4 linked regions of the Saccharomyces cerevisiae S288C genome follow. The gene in region 3 interacts genetically with the main gene of each other region. Each region holds a gene or a part of one and is shown on either strand. Other genes may lie near its edges. The genes, in order: PWP1, HOT13, SCP1 and UBX3.

What was found.
Region 1: mutations in SCP1 (region 3) and PWP1 together harm fitness less than expected from each alone (positive genetic interaction), as found in Saccharomyces cerevisiae (one large-scale study listed by BioGRID).
Region 2: mutations in SCP1 (region 3) and HOT13 together harm fitness more than expected from each alone (negative genetic interaction), as found in Saccharomyces cerevisiae (one large-scale study listed by BioGRID).
Region 4: mutations in SCP1 (region 3) and UBX3 together harm fitness more than expected from each alone (negative genetic interaction), as found in Saccharomyces cerevisiae (one large-scale study listed by BioGRID).

What each region holds. Positions count from the first base shown.
Region 1 is NC_001144.5:540,328-546,393, reverse strand, and holds PWP1 (rRNA-processing protein PWP1), read right to left. Parts: upstream 2,427-6,066; coding exon 696-2,426; downstream 1-695. Other genes in the region: snoRNP complex protein NOP56, read right to left, coding at 1-297; glycylpeptide N-tetradecanoyltransferase NMT1, read left to right, coding at 3,090-4,457; NCW2 (Ncw2p), read left to right, coding at 4,821-5,585; UPS1 (Ups1p), read left to right, coding at 5,858-6,066.
Region 2 is NC_001143.9:277,517-282,502, forward strand, and holds HOT13 (Hot13p), read left to right. Parts: upstream 1-2,992; coding exon 2,993-3,343; downstream 3,344-4,986. Other genes in the region: cytochrome c1 heme lyase CYT2, read right to left, coding at 1-347; SRX1 (sulfiredoxin), read left to right, coding at 765-1,148; malate dehydrogenase MDH1, read left to right, coding at 1,607-2,611; ribosome biosynthesis protein RRP14, read right to left, coding at 3,509-4,813. UniProt on the Saccharomyces cerevisiae protein: Required for the assembly or recycling of the small Tim proteins in the mitochondrial intermembrane, thereby participating in the import and insertion of multi-pass transmembrane proteins into the mitochondrial inner membrane.
Region 3 is NC_001147.6:1,022,902-1,027,922, reverse strand, and holds SCP1 (Scp1p), read right to left. Parts: upstream 1,917-5,021; coding exon 1,314-1,916; downstream 1-1,313. Other genes in the region: RAD17 (Rad17p), read right to left, coding at 1-1,080; YOR365C (putative flavin adenine dinucleotide transporter), read left to right, coding at 2,351-4,462; oleate-activated transcription factor PIP2, read left to right, coding at 4,711-5,021. UniProt on the Saccharomyces cerevisiae protein: Has actin-binding and actin-bundling activity. Stabilizes actin filaments against disassembly.
Region 4 is NC_001136.10:292,892-299,005, forward strand, and holds UBX3 (clathrin-mediated endocytosis regulator UBX3), read right to left. Parts: upstream 1,869-6,114; coding exon 501-1,868; downstream 1-500. Other genes in the region: RNA-binding signal recognition particle subunit SRP14, read left to right, coding at 1-330; RAM1 (protein farnesyltransferase), read right to left, coding at 2,143-3,438; NUR1 (Nur1p), read left to right, coding at 3,929-5,383; FG-nucleoporin ASM4, read right to left, coding at 5,526-6,114.

The sequences.
Region 1 (6,066 bases), on a different chromosome or scaffold from region 3:
AGCCAAAGTAATGTTCTTCTTTTTCGAGGAAGCCTTTGGTAAGTTTAAATCCAAGATAGCTTTCAAACTCTCAGAGACTAAACCTTCTGATATGTCGTTAGCATTTTCAAGGGCTTCAGCAGCACCTTTGAATGGCGCGAAAGATACAAGTTCGATTAACTTTGTAAAAGCACCAAAATCATTGATTTGCTCTTGAACTTCTTTTAATCTTGAACCAATGTCATCTTGTTGCAACTTAACCTTGAAAACTGCGTAACCAGTAGGTTCTTCAAACAGTAGGTATTCAATAGGAGCCATCTTTCACTAAATACTGTTCTGCACGCTTCTTCTCCTAGAAATATACCTTCCAAAACACTTTTAATAACTACTTAAAAAACTGTAGACACTACGCAATTGCACAAAATTTTTCATTTCCCATCTCATCACTCAAAAAAATTTCACTTTGAAAAAAAAAAAAAAAGAAAATTTTCACATCGCATTCTACGAGCGTATATATGCCGGGTGATATAAAAAAGTTACACAACTGTAATTCACCACATTGTCATCATATGCTAAATTATACCGTAACAGCACATATTAATGTATTATATTGTTTTTTTCTGAGGCTCCTCTTACACTAGTATACAGTATTATCTTCTATAGATTTTTTATTTGTACTTGCAATGTACTCTGCTTTAATATTTTTCATATCCAGATTATGCCATGTCATCATGCTCATCTCCACCTTCTCTTTCTTCTTCATCTTCACCTTGATCATCAATGGTTATAACAGTATCTGGGTTATCGTTACTGGTGTATTTTCTGGCGATTCTTGAACTTTTTCCTATTTTTTGGGCTTCTTCTTTTGCTCTTGCTTGAACATTCTCTAGTTCACTTTTAAAGCTCTTACGTACAGATCTATTGGTAAAAACGTCCCATAGTTTCAAAACTTTATTGACACCACCAATGACCATGGTACCCGCTACCTCGATGTCTGGAGCGAATGACGATGTCAATACATTTCCGACATCGAAATCACGAGACAGAACCATGCTTGGGCCCTTAGTGTTCGTAGCATCATCCAAGGGGAATTTCCATAATTTGACAGTCTTTTCACCCATGGCCCCTGTACTCATCATACCAGGGATGAATTTGTTTGAACATAATGTGGAGATACCAGCATCGTGTGCCTTCAATGTCCAAACTGGTTTACGGTTTTCATTGTTTCTAATATCGAAAGAATACACATTACCAGAATCAGTACCACATAATATTATATTTTCACTGGCAAATGTAACAGTTTCTATTTCCTCACCTGCCATGGCAGACCAGTATTTACTCATTTGACTTTCGTCAGAAATTCTAACATCTGTTAAAGCTACTCGAGAATCATAACCACCGGTCAAAAGAATGGAACCATTCAACATGTGCCATTCAGATGATGAAACATTTTTGTTTGAATGAATGGAAGCTAAGGAGCGGGCTGCGTTACCTGAGTTCAAATCCCATAGTTTTACGGTATGATCTGCAGAGGTGGATGCTAAAACGGAACGGAAATATTTGTTGTGTGCCATGGATAAAACAGCATCGGTATGATGAGTAGTAATGTGTCCAGTCTTAGACTTCTTCTTCTTCTTTTTGCTTTTCAAAGACACCATTGAATTATCAAGAGGTTCACCCAGAATCATATCGGGAAAGGCCTTGTCAACACAGTCCAAGTTCCAAATTTCAATTTGTGGATCAAACGTACCAATGGCAGCATAATTGGCTGCTTCTTCGGAATTGGATCCAACCTTGTAGTCAAGCCACTCAACACATAGTGGAAAAGCAGGCAACATTAAATCATGGTGAACGTAAAGTGCAGGGTCACGAACCAATCCACGAGCAACATCTGGGTCAGCTTCATCACCTTCTTCAACGGGAATATCGCTACTGTGGAACCCAGCACCGTCATCGTAAACGTAGATATCCAAATACGAAACGTCATCTTCTGTTCTCGCAGCAAGAACTAAATTATCGGATGGGTAAACTTGTAACTCCTGCTTCTCCTCTTGACTATCCTCTTGATTAGGCAATGAAATATATGGATCTTCACCTTTTTCACCCTCATGGAATTTAACATCGCTATCATTACTTAAACCCGGGAACATGGAAACGTCTTTACCACCCTCATTATCTGCAATTTCCTCATCGTCATATTCTTCCAGGTTATATTCTTTCAAATCATCATCTATATCCAACTGATCCTTCAACTTATTAGAACTACCTGTTGCGGCGTCATCTTCAACACCTGATTCGCCTTCTGCTTCTTCCAAAGTAGCTTTAGCATCATCCAAATTCAACTGTGCTAATTGGTTAATTCTTTCCACTTCCTCATCATCCAGAACATACTTTTCAGGAAATTCCGAGGAAAACCCTCTTGGAACCCAATTAGTAGCAGAAATCATTAGTTATTTTGTTTTTTTTATTCGTCTTCTAAGTTTCCAAATAAGGAAGGCGTAATAGACTCAACTGAGGGTACACTTGCTATCGTTTACAAATTAAAACTCTTTGCTTCTTTCAAACTCATCTCAGCTCATCGAGACAAATTTTTCACTTCTTTTTTTCGAGGGCGAGAAAATTTATTACCCGACTGGATATAATATATATAGAATAATACATATGATCAACTCAAGGTAGGGCCTATGGAAAAGTTTTACAACGGACAAGGCAATTAAATTGAATTGCACGATTCTCTAATTTTTTATTCTTGCAGATTTGTTTCATGATAAATTCGCCAGTTAGAGTTCTTATTATGGGTGGGTAAGAATTCAGTTAACGTTTAAAATTCTCAATATTAATCGCAAAGTGGAAAGCAAAGCAAAGTCTCACTAGAAATTGCAGGCGGACTATGTATAATTACGTAATAGTAGTTCTTGCAACAGAGGATCCTTTCGACTCTTTTGAAAGGATACTGTCATAAAACAATAGGATAAAATAATTTCAGCCGTTGCTCATGATAAAAGTAATTCACTATAATTGAAGATGATATGTGTTGCACGCTTTTTAGAGAATGATCTGTACAATAGCTCTGGTTGTCATAGAGCTTCGGTAGTAAACGTATTTATAGAATGTCAGAAGAGGATAAAGCGAAAAAATTAGAGAATTTATTGAAGTTATTACAGTTGAATAATGACGATACTTCAAAATTCACTCAAGAACAGAAAAAAGCTATGAAAGACCACAAATTCTGGAGAACGCAACCGGTCAAAGATTTCGATGAAAAGGTGGTGGAAGAAGGCCCCATTGATAAGCCAAAGACACCGGAAGATATATCTGACAAGCCACTACCTTTATTGTCTAGCTTCGAATGGTGTAGTATTGATGTGGACAACAAAAAACAGCTTGAAGATGTTTTCGTTCTACTAAATGAAAACTACGTGGAAGACCGCGATGCAGGCTTCAGATTTAACTATACCAAAGAATTCTTCAATTGGGCTTTAAAGAGTCCAGGTTGGAAGAAGGATTGGCATATTGGTGTTCGCGTTAAAGAAACACAGAAATTAGTTGCCTTTATCTCAGCCATACCAGTAACACTTGGTGTTAGAGGTAAACAAGTGCCTAGTGTAGAAATCAATTTCTTGTGCGTTCACAAACAGCTAAGATCGAAGAGATTAACACCTGTTCTAATTAAAGAAATTACGAGACGAGTGAACAAATGTGACATCTGGCATGCATTGTACACGGCAGGTATTGTTTTGCCAGCACCTGTGAGTACGTGTCGTTATACTCATCGTCCCTTGAATTGGAAGAAACTTTATGAAGTAGATTTCACAGGGTTACCAGATGGGCACACAGAGGAGGATATGATTGCTGAGAATGCGTTACCGGCCAAAACAAAGACAGCGGGATTGAGAAAATTAAAGAAGGAAGATATTGACCAAGTTTTTGAGTTGTTCAAAAGATATCAATCCAGGTTCGAACTAATTCAAATTTTCACAAAAGAAGAATTCGAACATAATTTCATTGGTGAAGAATCGTTACCATTGGATAAACAAGTAATTTTCTCATATGTAGTCGAACAGCCCGATGGAAAAATTACAGACTTCTTCTCATTTTACTCATTGCCATTCACAATCCTAAATAACACAAAATATAAGGACCTAGGCATCGGGTACTTGTATTATTATGCCACCGATGCAGATTTCCAATTCAAAGACAGGTTTGATCCAAAAGCTACTAAGGCTTTGAAAACAAGATTGTGTGAATTGATTTATGACGCTTGTATTTTGGCCAAAAACGCTAATATGGATGTTTTTAACGCGTTGACTTCGCAAGATAATACATTGTTCTTGGATGATTTGAAGTTCGGGCCCGGTGACGGGTTCTTGAACTTCTATTTATTTAATTATAGAGCAAAGCCGATTACCGGTGGCTTGAATCCCGACAATAGTAACGACATTAAAAGGCGTAGCAATGTCGGTGTTGTTATGTTGTAGTGGCTGAAAGGACGAGGCGTATATAGTTTTCGTGTACATAGCCGACAGAATTTGACCACATTTAGTTTTTCCGCATAGTCAATTGACGAAGTGAAAAAATAATTAATCCAATGGCTGGCTTTAGAGTGTCAGCCTCCAAAATAAATCCAAAAATAGACAAAGAGAATCACTATAATTACCGCCTTGGAGTCCAAGTTGGCTTGAGAACTCGCATTTATTTTTAGCGACTGAGGTAGCTGAAAAACGCCTACTTTCTCAGAAGGCGGTAGTGAGCATATATAAGTATGTAAGAAAGATCAACTCTTCTGGACTAGATACTCACCGATCTAGTGAAAATATAAACAAACCCAACATATATATAAAATGAAGGCCTGTTCCATATTATTTACCACCTTAATTACTCTAGCCGCTGCTCAAAAAGACTCTGGTTCCTTAGATGGCCAGAACTCTGAAGATAGCTCACAAAAGGAAAGCTCAAACTCTCAAGAGATCACACCTACCACGACAAAGGAAGCCCAAGAAAGCGCATCAACTGTAGTTTCTACCGGAAAAAGCTTAGTACAAACTAGCAACGTCGTCAGCAACACCTATGCTGTGGCTCCAAGTACCACCGTAGTGACGACGGATGCACAAGGCAAAACCACGACACAGTACCTATGGTGGGTGGCCGAAAGCAACTCTGCCGTAAGCACAACTTCAACTGCCTCTGTGCAGCCCACCGGAGAGACGTCAAGCGGAATCACCAACTCCGCATCCTCCTCAACGACATCAACATCAACGGACGGGCCAGTTACTATAGTAACTACCACGAATTCGTTAGGTGAGACTTACACATCTACTGTTTGGTGGCTACCGTCCTCAGCCACAACTGACAACACGGCTTCATCAAGTAAATCATCTTCGGGATCCTCATCAAAACCGGAATCAAGCACCAAGGTAGTAAGCACTATCAAATCAACTTATACCACTACGTCAGGTTCTACAGTAGAGACACTGACCACTACATACAAGTCTACAGTCAACGGTAAGGTAGCGTCCGTAATGTCCAATTCTACCAATGGCGCCTTTGCCGGCACTCACATAGCTTATGGTGCGGGTGCATTCGCCGTTGGTGCCCTTTTGTTATAGAATGTATAATCAGTTCTGTATACCACCACATAGTTCTGCATTTTAATAAAACTCTTTCTTTTTATACACTGTAGGTAACCAATAATATAACTATTGTTATCATCGTGCTTGCGTATTTTTTTTCTTTCGGGTGAAAAACTCCGCAGTATTTCTCGCTCTCCCTGGATAATAAGCTAGAAAAAAAAAATATATATGACAGATGGATGAGTAATCATATTCAATAAGTATTGTCTGGCTTCTGAGACGGCGGTAAGATATCCTTAAGAGTTGCAATGGTCCTTTTACACAAAAGCACACATATATTTCCTACCGATTTTGCCTCTGTTTCACGCGCCTTTTTTAATAGATACCCCAATCCATACTCCCCCCATGTACTATCCATAGACACAATATCAAGGAACGTTGATCAAGAAGGAAATTTGCGCACAACGAGGCTGTTGAAAAAGTCCGGAAAGCTGCCCACATGGGTCAAACCCTTTTT
Region 2 (4,986 bases), on a different chromosome or scaffold from region 3:
ACCCGCTCATTGATGGAGTTATGTAAAGGCACAACCACCTTCATGTCATCTGAGTTCGGATCCCAATTTTTTTTCATCATTGCCTCGTAAAATTGTTTCTCCGACGGGTATATCCAGTTTCTGTCAGAATTCGTCCTTGGTATGGTGGAAACCTCTCTGGACTGAGAGAGATCCACCGTGGTGTGATATTCAGGCGTTTTATCGTTATCTTGTGGGTTTGCAGAGCACTCTAGTTGATTGCCTGGGGCAGTAGCACCAGGATGCGCTTCGTTGCCATGTTCTCGTAGCCATAACTTTTTGGTTTCCTCATCTACGGGGCATTTCCCCTGTTGGTCTGAAGACATCATAATATGTAAAATAGAGACGAATGAAAAGCACGTGAACTAACAAACTATTTACTACTACCGAAATGTGATGCTTAAGCCTTTGGCCTCTGCAATACTAGCGATTGCTTTTTCCCTGATTAGTAAGCTACATCATTTATACTACATCTTTCTGTCTTAGAAGGCTTACAAACATCGAAAAGCTGGAACTTTGATTTCGAAAAAAATATGCCGTTACCCGTTGCGGGTCCCTTTTTTTTAGAAGGCCGGCCCAGAAGTCGCCATTATTTTTAGTCATTACAGTAGCCCTGTTGGGTAAGGATGCGATGCAATACATGTCAAGAGGTGTTGTATATAAACCACAATATCTACCATCAATGAGCTATATATACTTTTCTTACTGAAAAAAAAAACTACAAAACCAAGTAAAAAAAGAACAATATGTCACTACAAAGCAACAGTGTAAAACCAACAGAAATTCCTCTCTCAGAGATCAGACGCCCCCTAGCGCCTGTGTTGGATCCTCAAAAGATCGACGCAATGGTGGCCACAATGAAGGGCATTCCCACCGCTAGCAAGACATGCTCTCTAGAACAGGCTGAGGCGGCTGCCTCAGCCGGGGAACTGCCGCCCGTGGACGTGCTGGGCGTGCGAGTCAAGGGACAGACGCTATATTATGCCTTCGGCGGCTGCCACCGTCTACAGGCATACGACCGCCGGGCTCGCGAAACGCAGAACGCCGCCTTCCCCGTGCGCTGCAGGGTGCTACCGGCCACTCCCCGCCAAATCCGCATGTACCTGGGCAGCAGTCTCGACATCGAATAATGATTACGCTAATAACACTACATAAGAAACATAGATAAATTATAATTCACTAATACAAAATCCCTCAATTTAATTAATCAATTTCTTATTCAACAACTAGAGTAGGCACTAGCAGTTTGTGCGACCCTCGGCGCCGGAGAGGTACAAGGGACCTGGCGGTTGGGCCTTCCTGCCAGCTTCTCCCCCCCTTCTCGGCATTCACTCAGCGTTCATTGGCTCAATCACGCGCCAAGCGGATTCCCAGAAAAATACAAAAAAAAGTTGCCATAATACAATGGCGGATATTACAATATATATAGCTTGCGCTTTAAAAAGAAGTGTTAGCACGCATTGGGTGTTTGTACTGTATTCCTCCACTTAAGATAACGAATACACATATAGATATACAATATATTATACGTGGACATCTACGGAAAGGAAGAAAAAAAACAAAAGGAAAAGGAAGGATACCATATACAATGTTGTCAAGAGTAGCTAAACGTGCGTTTTCCTCTACAGTTGCCAACCCTTATAAAGTGACTGTTTTGGGTGCAGGCGGTGGTATTGGACAACCATTGTCTTTGCTTCTAAAGCTTAACCATAAAGTCACGGACTTAAGACTGTACGACCTAAAGGGCGCAAAAGGTGTTGCCACCGATTTGTCTCATATTCCAACAAACTCCGTGGTCAAGGGGTTTACTCCAGAAGAGCCAGACGGATTGAACAACGCTTTAAAGGACACAGACATGGTTTTAATTCCTGCTGGTGTGCCCAGAAAGCCTGGTATGACACGTGATGACTTGTTCGCCATCAACGCAAGCATCGTTCGCGATTTGGCAGCAGCAACCGCCGAATCCGCTCCCAATGCTGCCATTCTGGTCATTTCCAACCCAGTCAATTCTACCGTTCCAATTGTCGCCCAAGTCTTGAAAAACAAGGGTGTTTACAACCCAAAGAAATTGTTCGGTGTGACTACCTTGGACTCTATTAGAGCCGCCAGATTCATCTCAGAAGTCGAGAACACCGATCCAACTCAGGAAAGGGTTAACGTCATCGGTGGACATTCTGGTATTACCATCATCCCATTGATTTCGCAAACAAACCATAAGTTGATGTCTGATGACAAGAGACACGAATTGATTCACAGAATACAGTTTGGTGGTGACGAAGTCGTCAAAGCAAAGAATGGTGCTGGCTCTGCTACGTTGTCAATGGCCCATGCTGGTGCTAAATTCGCTAACGCTGTTTTGTCCGGTTTCAAAGGCGAAAGAGACGTCATCGAGCCTTCCTTCGTGGACTCTCCCTTGTTCAAATCCGAAGGCATCGAATTCTTTGCATCTCCGGTCACTTTGGGCCCAGATGGTATTGAAAAGATCCATCCAATAGGTGAGTTATCTTCAGAAGAAGAAGAAATGCTACAAAAATGTAAAGAAACCTTGAAGAAGAATATCGAAAAGGGTGTCAACTTTGTTGCTAGTAAATAGATTGTTCAAGATCAGAAATAGAGTGAAAAATAGGGAAAAAAAAAAAAAAATTCTACTAATAAGAACGGAAGACTACTCGCCATCATGAGATTACGACATCTTTTTTATTTAATTCTTTGTTATATTTAGCCAATTGAAAGGAAGGAAACTGCCAAAAATCAACTAGAGAAAAATTCATGCTATTCGTTGCTCCTACACCTTTTTTTCTTCCGTAGACGAGGAAAAACAAAAATGATTAAATAGGCGCGCGCGGTGTGATGGTGATGATAATGATGATGATGATGATAATGATGAATAAACGTTTCGGTTTACGAGTTTCTTTAAATATACATATATGATATAAAAAAAAAAATACGTACCACTTACAATTTGCAAATATAGATGATCGAAACTGCCATTTATGGTAAGACAGTGGATGACCAATCTCGATGTGTCCACTGGCATCTTCCAAAGGATGTAATTGCCATCAGGTTTAAATGTTGTGATAAGTACTATGCGTGCTTTGAATGCCACCAAGAGTTAAGTTCTCACCCGCTAGAAAAATATGATCTCCTTGACGATGCAAATAAACACTTGATTATTTGCGGAGTTTGCCGTCATGAAATGACGTTTGCAGAGTATTACGACTACAATTCAAACCTTATTTGTCCCAATTGCAGATCCCCCTTTAATCCAGGCTGTAAATTGCACTACCATTTGTATTTCCAGAACCCTCCCCCCGCTATGTGTTGAGTGTTGTTCTATAAATGCATGCCATCTTAAGCTCTGCTGTGCTCTTCTCGTTAAGGAAAAAATGCGATGGTATATATATAGATATATATATATATATATGTATCTGTATATATATGTTCATACATATATATATATCTATTATTGTTGTTATTATTATCGTGATTATTATTTAGGTCCTCCCTTCTTTTTACCTGTTTTTAATCTACCCTCAAATCCGGCTCTTTTCTTTGGTACGGCACTACCGACATACTTTCTTTTCATCTTTTCTTGCTTATTTCTCTTTTTACCCTTGTTGTCTTTCCTAATCCTCAGATTCTCTTCTCTTCTCTTTTGTCTTTCAGATATCGTGTCTTCCACAACCCTCTTACGTTCGCTCCATTCAATCGCAGACTTTCTCTTTTGTGCTTCCTTTCTCTTTATAGCTTTGCGAAGTAGTTTTTCGTCATCCCTAATCTTAATTCCTTCTGCTTGTAACATAGCCTTTTGCCATTTTTCCTTTTCCTTCTGCTTGATTTGTTCTAGTTCGTCTTTCGCCTCCATCTTATTCTTCTTGGCTTCTAATAACTTTAAGTGTGATTTTACATCATTCTTAGCCGGACCCTTCGTTCTACCAGCTTTTCTTAACCTTTGTAAATCTGAAGTGGCCCTTGCACCATCATCGAATATGATATTTTGAAACATTACACCATCTGCGTTAATTTCTGAGTCCTTCTTGCCTTTTTTGAATCTTTTTTTCGAATTGTTTTCTAAATCACTATCGATGTCTTCCATATCGGAATCAGACGCAATTTCATCCTGATCCTGTTCCTGTTCACTTTCTAGACGCTTTCTTTTTTTCAACTCTTCCTTGCGTTTCCTTTGAGCAAGAATAGCCTCTCTAGAACCGGGTGCTTTCCTTTTACTCTTCATATCTGAAATTTTCGCTTGTAACTTGGAACGTAGTGCTTCCAAGTTTTTCTTTCTTTGTAGTTTCTCTTCCTCTGTAATAGACTTCTTTTCGACAGATCTATCGGGCTCTGTAGTATCTTTTTTAGATTCTAATGGTATTTCATTTCCCTCATCATCAAAGATCACCTTAATATCCTCTTCCTCTTCTTCATCTTCGTCTGGTGCTATTATCATAGGATCGTTTACTTCTACGTTCAGGTCGGAGTCTCCTTCCACTTTTGATGTTGCTTCCTTTTGCTTTTGCATTTTCATGTGCTTGAATTTTTCACCAGGTAGGACCACCGGCTTTGCGTCTTTCTCCTTCTTCTTCATTACTTCTAATGTACTAGATGTTTCATCATCACGTTGCTCCGGGTCTAATTTTTTCAGTTTATCATTTTTACTCTGTTCTTTGGTTTTCTTCTTGGCCTTCCATTGCTCTTGACTTTTTTCATCATAATAGTATTTTGCAGGAATTAAAGCCAATAAACCATCGAAGGCGCTTGAATTAGCACGAAGGCGCTCCTCAAGTGAATTACTCATCTCAGTCTCCTATATCTTTCAATTCCCGGACTTTCTTTATCACTTGCAACAACGTCTCAGTCCTCACTTGTTATTCATCTCTTGGTCATCTCATCTCTTTTATTGTACTTTCCTCTTTTCTTTACCGGAGATGAGAATAAAAAGAATTCATTTTAAAAAATTTTCAATTTGGT
Region 3 (5,021 bases):
GTTGTCATTTGAAGTTTCATTGCCTTTATCTGTACCATATCTTTTTCTTATAGTTGATTTTTTAAAACTATTACGATTGCCAAGTTCATTAGTCTCCATCAGGAGTTCTATTTCTGTCTGTGCTGCCTCATCTATGGATTCTTTTTCTAGCATGCAAACCTCAATTACTATACCGGGATAATCCTTGGGTAGCTGCAGTTGGCGAATACTACCTGGTCGATTATTTGAAGGTCTTGTAGTATCAGTGATAATGACATCGTCTGTTTGACTTAGAATATTTACACTCAATACGCCATGAACATCCATCCTGAAAAGGACTTTGCTTGCAATTTTAGTACTCTTTCTGATTTTATCAAACGAGGTGAAATCGAAGAACCCAATTACAGCAAAACCATCTATTACTGTTGTGGAATCTCCGTCAAATACTTGTAACTTCTCTAGTATGGATCTGTTACTGGGTAATTTTATTTTAGAAAATCCTAGCTGAGATTTAGATATCAGGGCAAATACATTCTCATCATTCGCCTCGGTCTTTGCATATACATAGCACTCTTTGCATCCGATTTCTTTTAGATCCTTTAAGGCTGAATGAAGGGCTTCGCCCTTAATAATTGCCTCAAAGCTTATCCTTTCTCTATCGAGTTCTAGTCCATTAGTATCAAAATCCTTAATTAAGTAGGTAGAGTACTCCACTCTCTCAGAAATGAACGAGTCTTCAAATATTAGTACAAATGGTGATCCATGTCCATCATAAGATAAAGTACACTCAACAATGTCATCCGAATTCCTGTTCATCACGCTAACGCTATCTAAGATATGATTTATTTTTACACAAAGTTTCATGTGATCCTCAGTTTCATTTCTATACGAATAAGACATAAATAGCTCCCGAGATAACAGTAGTTGGATTTTTATCACATGATTATTCTCCCTGACAAATGACAGCCCATCAGCATCAATGAATATAAGCACATCGTCTTTAGAACCAAAAGGTGTTAAACAACTTAAAGCAGTTGTGATATGTTCTAAGTGCACCGTTGAGGCAGAAAACTTGTTCGCTAGCTCACTGTTGATTCGCATAGTTGAAATCCTTCAACTACTTTGTTTCCACACCGTTCTGTGAGATTGATTTGTATAATCACATTTTTACCGGTAACGTTAACTTTTGTTACGCGTCTCTAGCCACCTTAGTGTTTATGTAGGAAAACTTTGATGGAAAACTAAAATATATCAAAGGAACTTTGGTTGCGTATATAGGGTTCTTAAATGTTTATTTATCAATTTCTGCCAGAGAAAGTGTTAATAATAATTCTCTAAACTATATCTCTCCGTTGTCCTAACACCACTCCTTCAGTAGCCTGAGATGCACCTTTCATATAACCGTATTCAAAAGTGCTCCATCCAGTACCATCTTGTAGATGTTTTGGTTTAGACTTAACCGGGGGTCTTGGCTTCTTTGTTGACAGTTGTGGTCCTAGAACTGGAAATCTATCTGTATGTTTTTTGTTGGCGTAACGAGATAGTGACTTCAACGTTTGGAAAACAATGGCAGGATCCTTTTTCTCAAAAAGATCAATTGTCTGAAACAGTTCATCTTCAGGCACACCATATTTTCTCGAAAATGATAAAAATTGGGAAATTTGATCCATTTGAACAAATGGCATTTTAGAGCTCTTCCAACTAATATGGTTAGCTTCTCCTGTGTCTGCTTCATATAAAATATTTGCCAGCTTACATAGGACTGTTCCATCTTTCAAGCATTCCAATAAGTCTCCAGGAGGAGCTATCTCTTTTAGGACAGATTTATATACCCATATTTTGATATTTTGAATTGCTTCCGGTGAAAATTTGCTTTCTCTTAGTTGTCTCAAATCTTCATCTAAGGATGTGACATCTGCCTTCTTATCGTAACTCATCGGTAAACTTTAGCTGTACGCTTACAAAGAAGTCATTTACTTAGACACTACTTATATCTTAGCTTTACTATTTGCGTTTATACTCCTTTTGGAACTCCACGGATGTCCAATTACACGTGATGAATGGGTGTTCAGCATATGTTACAACTATAATGCATGACATGATGAATATGTAGTGGTAATCCATGCTGTATTTTGTTATTACTGTAGCATGGTATTGATGCATTTTTAATTTTTATAATGCTGCTATGGAGCGATCCATATCGACGACAGCTTTAGTTCATGGCGGTCCATTTATATTTTTGTGCCCGAATTACTGACACATTTAAAAAATGATGCAGTGTCAATATTTTGGAAGGATGATGAAGCAAAGTCGTAATGCTATTTTAAATAATATTTAACCTCTCTGATTTATAGATGTAAAGAGAATAAGTATGCTTCCCATTAAAGTCTTCTCTTTATCTCGGATTTTTGTTTTGCTAGCAATCTTCCGACAAATACACGCTATTTCCATTAACAGCTCTACTTTCCAGGTTTCTAACTCTTTTACACTACTGAACAACGCATCGACTCTATTCCCAGTACCATTTGATGCATATACTAAAGAATATCTAAGGACTTCGGCTCTGTTGACTTGTGCTAAAGACTCACAGTTTTCTGCATCGTATTTCGAAGCTGCTTTTTTCCCGAGAAATAATACTCTATTCTTTAATGTTGAAGCACAAACAATTATGAGCGAAAACATAACCATCAAGGCAGAATTGATTGCATATGGTCTCAATGTTTATACCAAAGTTTTTGATCTATGTGGAATCCAAGATAATTTATTATGTCCGTTGAAGCCGGGAAATATAGAACTCATGGGAAGTTATTATGTTGAGGCCGCGGTAGCTAGCCAAATACCAAGCATAACATATAATATACCTGACTTAGACGCATATATTGTGGTGACAGCATACTCCACTATTGATAAAGAATTTACCAAACCTCTAGCATGTGTACAAGTGATGTTATCAAATGGTAGAACAGTCCAAACAGAGTATTTATCGTGGAATCTAGTGATATTGACAATTTCCGGAATTATGTTTTCAGTGGTTTATTCTTTGCAAGGTTATACGGTTACTTCAACAAGACTGGCGTCTTATTCAATATCGCTACTTTTATATTTCCAAAATTTGGCTATTTTAGCTATGATTAGTGTATCATTTTTACCGCCTATTGTCGCCGCTTGGACTCAAAATTTCCAATGGTCAATGGGAATAATAAGGATAAATTTTATGCAGCGGTTATTTGACTGGTATGTTGTCGCAACATCTGGGTCCCCCACCGTTGTATACCGCAATAAAGAAGTTTTATCGATCAGTGTTCAAAAAAGATCCTTGAACAGTAAAATCATATCAGCGTCAAGTAATTTAAATGGTATTGAAAGTTCCCAAAAAAATGATTTATTATACACTTCAAATTTGAGAAATTCAAATGACTATCTGTCAAAAATTTTAGTATTAAGAGGTATTAAAAGGGTGTCTTACAAAGCTGGAATTGAGATATCAAATTTCTTTTTAACGGGATTTTCCTTCTTTATCATATTCATTTGTATGATAATATTGGCGTTTATTATCTTCAAAACATTTTTGAAAGTACTTCAGAAGTTTAAAGTTAAGACAATTAGATATTTACACTTCCACACACATTGGAGTGCACTTTTACAGGGGACACTATATCGAGCGGTGTTCATAATTTATTCTGAGATATCTCTTTTAGCACTTTGGGAGTTCACTCAAACAGACTCAGCAGCTACCTTAGTGGAGGCAATCGTTGTTTTCATTTTGATTACAGTCTTGTTATCATCCGCAAGCGTAAGAATATGGAGGAAGATGATCAAGTCTAAGAAAATATTTGGCCAGCCAAGCTATTTACTCTTCAGTAGCTCGAAATTCTTAAACAAGTTCGGCTTTCTTTCCTCTCAATTTAAGTCTACAAAAGTCTGGTGGTTAATGGCGACCTCTGCACACATGCTTATTAGGTCTATACTAGTGGGTTCTCTACAAGCGCACGGAAAATCTCAATCTATTGGTATCTTTTTGAATGAAGCTATCTATCTCATCCTTTTGTGCTGGATGCAACCTTACATGGATAAAACAACCAACTTCTTCAATATTAGTATCCATTCACTGAATTTAGTGAACGCATTTTTTTTCTTATTTTTCAGTAACTTATTTCAGCAGCCCATAGCTGTGTCTTCTTTTATGGGACTAATTTTCTTTTTTCTAAATGCAGCGTTTTCTTTGTATCTCTTCATTTTCATATTGATATGCTTTACGATGGCAATATACTACAAACACCCTGATACAAGATACAAACCTATTGATGATCAAAGACGATCCTTTTTGAAGGGTGAAATGGATGATGATGCGGTTTACGAATCGGTCCCGGAACTGCACGAAATGAAGAAAGCCGTTCTTGAATGCAACGGTATTCAAAAGCCGCAGATCAATAAGATTGACCTTTGTAAACAAAATTCGAACTGTGAATATCTGTATATGTGAATAAATAAAATCGTGACTAATACGTCCGGTAGGATTTGCCTTCCTGCAAAATTTCTTCTGATTTTGGAATTTGAAAGGTTGTAAGACCATCTCGGAACTAAATATAATCTCCGGAGTATCTCCAACGAAGAAAACATAAAGCGTTGTTAGGACTTAATAGAGGTCAGATAAAGAAAATCTACTGAAACGTATAGAGCGGATGAAATATCACTTTCTGATCTTGCTGAACAAAATTTCTTCGATAAAAGATGTACTTTACAGACGAATCATCACCGGCAATGAATAGAGTAGGTAAAAAAAGGAATAGACTTTCTTTTGTTTGCCAAGCTTGTAGAAAAGCAAAGACGAAGTGTGACCAGGAAAAACCTAGATGTGGCAGATGTACTAAACAAAACCTCTTTTGTATATATGATGTCGCCAGACAGGCGGCCCCTAGGAATCCGAATAAGGATGCCACCATAGCGAGACTGAAAAAGGAGATTCGTTACTGGAGAAATAAAACCGTGGATTTGACTCAAGAAAAGAAAGACTTCTACACTGCATTGAAAAGGCCGACTGA
Region 4 (6,114 bases), on a different chromosome or scaffold from region 3:
ATAGAACACGATCCTGTGGAAGGGAATCTTGAATTTGATTCTACCAACCATCCTGACTATGATGTATCTAAAAAGGCTTCTGAAATTTCAGTTAGCTCAAGATCTGACAGAGAATACCCACTATTAATCAGAATGTCTTATGGCTCGCATGACAAGAAAACAAAATGCTCAACAGTGGTAAAAGCAAGTGAGTTAGATCAATTTTGGCAAGAGTATTCATCTGTATTTAAGGGGGGCATGCAGAATTTGATCAAGAAGAAGAAAAAGAAGAGTAAGAACGGTACCATCAGTAAGACAGGAAAGAAAAACAAGGTAGCGAAGAAAAACTGATGCACGTGACACTTGAGTCAAAAGGCATGTGCGCCTCTTGTTATCTTTGGATGTGTAGATTAAAGGATGGCAACGTAGATATAAAAGATTAATTGCATAAAGTTGTGTAGATATAAATTTAACTAAACTTTAGAATAAACGTTTTGAGATGACTATTTTTGAAATTCCTTTCATTCGTCCAGGCGTTCCATTACAATATTTCCTGATGGATATATGCCGCTAACGTCAGATATTTTGGTAGATAAATCAAGCTCTCTTCTTGGTACCGGCGTGATCAATTTGAAGCTATACTGGTGCTGATAATTAGCAGGTTGGTATACGGGTAAAGTATCGTTTTCTGAGTTCAACATGTCATGCAACTGTAATTCTACGAAGGCATATATCTCCTCCGTTGGTAGAGATGCGTCAAACTTTCTCACTAATCTCTGCCCATTTTCTAGTCTGATCGCAACTTTGCTTGCATCTTTATCAGAAGAGGGTTCGGGTTTTAGTTGGCTTTTTCTCCACAATAGCCATTGGTTTTCTATTCTTTGGTGCTCTCTTTCCATTTGTTCTCTTTGGGTCTGTTCCAATCTTTCTGATTCTCTTTGTTGATCACGTCTTAAGGAATCCTGGTATCTTGAATCCTGTTGTTGTCTTATTAATCTCTGCATTTCAATATTTTGTCTTTGCTGACGCAATTGAATTAATCGAGAATAATTCTTGGAGAATATGGCCTCCAAATCTTGGGCTTTGTAGTTAGAAATAGAACCTTCAACTCTTGCTATTAACTCTATTTTTTTCTCAGCCTTTAAAGAAATTATTCCAAGTAGGGGATATTGCCTAATTTTTAATGCATTGGAAACTTGCAACCCCTCGGATGTAGTAACGTCACCATACCATAGTAATACCTGGTACTTCCTTATCATGTTAACAAAGGCTTCTGAGCACAATATTTTATTAACGTAATCCATATGATTATCCAACAATGGGTCATGTAAATAAATGACTCCAAATTTCACTTGTTCGCTACAAGCATCCAATAATTCAGTGTAACTATTTTGCATAATGCTTTTGGAAAATGTTCCATTTTCAGGGTTGTATAAAGAACCAAAACTAAACTGGACCCCACTGCTCTCATTGTTGCTCGTACTGTCAGTATTGCTGCCATCATCATTATTCCCGTTACCTTCAGAACACGTTACAGCTTGAGCTTCGTTTTCTAGATTTTCTAAAAGACGGTGTAATTGGGAACTGTGGTCTAGTAAACGGTTGTGCTTCCTCTGGTAGAATCCGTGAAGTCTTAATAGAGGTTTTAAAAGACGTGAACTTCGGACAATGAAATTCAATAAATAATAAAGAACTATTAGGGGAGCTTGAAATAAAAAATGGAGTATTGATTTTAAGCGTCCATCCCGGCTCTGTGTGGGTTCATTTGTATTGCTGTTTTGATCTTCTGTCCTTCCATTCAAATCAGCAGGTGGTTCTTCTCTAAAAGCACCTGGGATTCGAATAAAGGAATCATCATTATTTCCAAAAGTATGCCTAAATATATCCATGTTTAAAGGGTATGTTTAAATCGCAGTCAAGCCGATTGATGAGGTACAACAAAATTTGGGAGTACGATTGCCCGCTGTTTTTGAACTTACTCTCACTTTTTGCTTCGTATGTAATTAAGCAAGGATGTGTTACAATAAGATTTCGCTTTGTTATTATCGTTTTAAAAGCGGTCGCCGAAGTGTCGAATAAAGGACAATGATAACGTAAAGAGAAAGAAATTGGAAAGAGACTGACCGCTAAGGAGATTGAATACATATATATAATAGTATGTGGTTAACTTGGAGAAGATAAATTGGATTTAAAGTAGTGGATAATTTTTCTTACATTTTCTATTGGTAAACCATAGACAGGGTTGACATCAGTAAGTTTCGATGATCCAATTAGGCGGTCTGGAGTACACTTAATATTATGTGGAGAATCATTAGGAGTGCAACTGTATGAACTTTCCGCAACAGCCAGTCCTAATAGGCAATAATTTGTATGGTAAAAGTCTGAGTGGGCCCCTGGTTTATCTCTCAAACCAGGTTGCTCTTTTTCTTGGCAACAGTACAATATGTAGTCCCGAAGAGCATGTTTGTTGAAGCATTGGCCATATCCAAAAGCTTCAAGAATGGCAGCCGAACCTCCAACCCAAAAACTATAGCAACCGTCAACAAGTTTGTTGCTCCTTCCGCAAAATCCTCGTTCTTCTTGCAATTGACGAGCACTAGACCATTCTAAAAGCTTTTCAACATTTATTTGGTCCATGGACCTTAAAATTGCTAGACTAGCTGTAGCACAGAAAGTATAGCCTCCGTGTGCCTCATCTACGTGAGGACAACTGCCGAATCCACCTTCATAATTTTGACAATTTTTCAAATAGTTTAACACACCTTCTGTAAGCTCTTCTGTAAGAATATTTAATAAGGTTGCTATGCTCAAGGCACAGTATATACCTCTTGTATCCACTTCTCCGACTTCTAAACAGGTCTTGAATCCTCCATTAGGCTCTTTCAACGATATCAGCCATTGGTAAATTCCTTTTCGATCAATTCTGTCCCAGCATCCATCTATGTTATCGCAAAGGGAGAGAGCATTAATTGCAGCATAAGTGCTGGCCAAATGAGATAATTGGCCAGGACCTCCACCAAAGGGTCCTCCTGAAGGACTAATAGTAAAGAGCTTATCTACAATTTTTCTTTTGGTGTCATCTGAAAGCCAGTCTCTGTCCATTACCTTCAATGAGTTAGCAATCCAATATAGCATCCACGGTTGTGAAGCATCTAGTGCTGTCATTTGTGGAGGTAACGATATCTCAAAAGCGACATCCAAGTACATTTTGTGAAACTCTTTCGTGAGAGCAGGTTCTATATTCTTTTCATCATCGTATATCTCTAATACACTTTGTAGTACTTTGTATCGTGCTTCTGTAGTGTCGGTTTCTAGTTCCTTCATCAATGGTTGGATTGCTTTACTTGAATCTACATGCGCTATATCGACGACTCTTTCCATAACTGGTCTCTTTCTTCCTAATAAGGCAGTATTTATAAATTTAGCCCTAGCTATGGACCTTCCTACTCTCTGTCGCATACGCTTTGATTGCCTATAGCTTTACAAGCACTGCAGTTGTTTCTGCATAAGAACGGCGATGATATGGACCCTTGCTTGGTTTATCCTAGCCACTTTCGCGTGTTTCAGTTTCAAGCTTTCCTAATCAGGCAACAGCTTATACGAAAAGATTAATAAGTTACAATGTTAAACAGTTTCGCTTCAAGACCTCTAACGTTAGCCAGAAATAATAAGAATAGGTGGATTAAGTTACAAGTGTTTTTGTCCTCCTACTTAATCAGAACAGAGCACGGGAATAGTGATCTCTTTCAATAGCGAAAGGAGGGAAAAATAGCCCTGCAATATATAAAGGAAGAAGTTAACACCGTATTAAAAGGGGTGAGGCCGTTGGGACAAGTGGTAGTTTCCTTAAAGTCTGGTTTGATTGACAATATTTAGAAGTTAGTGAAACGAACAACCTAAAAAACTTTGTTGTGCAGTAGAGAGCTTTACATTTACCTTCGGCAGTAAAATGGGTTCAAATGATTTGATAAATGAAGCATATGACGACTCGGAAGTAGTTGGTGAGGAAAGAGAATCAAAATCTGCATGGATGAAGAGGTGGTATCAGCTACTTACTTCTCCTTTAGACTTGCAGTTGGTAATAAATGAAAAGTTAGAAATGATCAACTGGGATGCTTATGCTAAAAGTCTAGCTAAGCCATTAGGGAATTTTTTAACAATACTTTTTTTTATCATAAGACTCTTGCAGGACAATTTGATCAAGCCCAACTATTACAAACTAAACGTCAAGTCTGGCGCTTTCGATCTTTCTAAATCCAATAAATTAAAAGAGTTTGATTATCTATGGGAGATATCATCCAGCTTTCAAAACAATAATCAATTTTATGCATTTCAATCTTGGTATTTTGTTACCTTAAGGTTTTTGAATAATCTTTTCAGGTTTACTATTTTCATACTGCTGTCCCTGAACCTGTACGTAAGCTGTAAATTCATGTTTGGATACTTTAAGACTTACAATCTCTTCCATTTGAAAAAAGAGTTCAACTCCCCAAACCTCACTAAACACAACTTGAAGGATCTAAGCAAAGAATACTATGAAGATATTTATAAGCAGTCCTTGTGGTCTATGTTGAAGCATTTTTTCAGAGGATCTCGTGATGACGGTCCTCATGTTAATCAAAATGAAGATGAGATATTTTTTCAGTTAAGAAAATGGATCCCCACTAACTTCATGATTAATCTTTTTGTGTCTTTTTCACCAACGGCAATTGTTTTTTTAAGCTTTTCTGATGTTTCGTTTACTTCAGCAATTGCTATAGTATTCCATCAATATATTCTGGATTATATCATAACTAAGAGATTTCAAAGAAGCGTGGACGACGACTTGATTTTATCAAGTGCAGCTTTGCAAGAATATGAGGACAAGCATATAATGGCACGAATTAACCAATGCAGCAATATAGATACTCTATCATCTGCAATGGGTACTAGATCTAAAACACCGAGAATATTCACCACTCACTCCCTATGTGGCGAAGAAATCAGAGAGGTTTATAATTATGAAAAAAGGGAATTTGAGGCATTACCGAAAATGACAGAAAGTGTGCCAGGATCCCGTGAAACCAGAATAAAGGATTATGGAGGCATTTCTCAAGTATCTGACCATCAAAGTCATCCCATTGGTTTTCATTATTCTCCTAGAATGTCCCCATATTATAGGGATAAAGTTTTGGATAACAATTTGGCTCAATCATCGTCAAATGAAAATTTAGAGAAGGGCGGAGCTTACCTGCCGAATCAAGACCAAAATAGACCATCGAAATCCCTGAGCCCATTGAGAAAAACGCCTTTAAGCGCACGACAGAAAAGGTTTGAAGGCTCAGAGTTCAATGTATTGAATAAGAATGATATTAATTCCATTCTTCGCTCTCCAAAGAAAAAGAAGAACTATCACAAAAGATAACGTTTCTTAATTATGTCTAAGTATATACAGTTACGTAAAAATCAATAAACAAAAGTAAAACAATGCTGTTTGAAAAGTTATCAAAATAATAAATGTATGAAGTATTGTAAATGTTCATGAATAATTAGCTGGACGATTTCTGTTATAGGTCATTCCAACCAAATAACCAATTACTCAGTTTGTGCGTAAAACCAGCAGGTTCATTATTTCTGTATTTCGCTTCTTGCTGACGCATTTTCGATTCTAGGTTTCGCAACAGATTAGGAATATTCGAATTCGGTCCTGCATTTTGCATGAATGGCAATTTGCCATCTATTACATCCAGCCGCTTATTCGGAGAATTTGCTACTATTGGACTTGAAATATTTGTTGGATTACCAGCATGACCGGCAGGAGTATTATCGTCTTCCCTCAGAAGAGTGCCATCAGTTATTATTACGTTTGGTGGGGATGGTGTATTAGATGTCGACGATGTGGAGGAATTTTGATACATAGAAACGTTGAATTCTCCAATGTCGTCGACATTATCAATTTTGCAGCCAGCTAATTGCTCCACCGCATTTTTTGAATATGGGATGCAACCAATCAAAGAACCGCGAAATATGGTTCCATTTTCCTGCAGTGCTCTCAAAGCAGAAGATGGAGAATTATAAGTGAGTTTGACCCAACTTTCACCAGTAAATATTGGATATTTTTTGTTATTCGACTCATTATTTCTGCCTTTTAAAGTA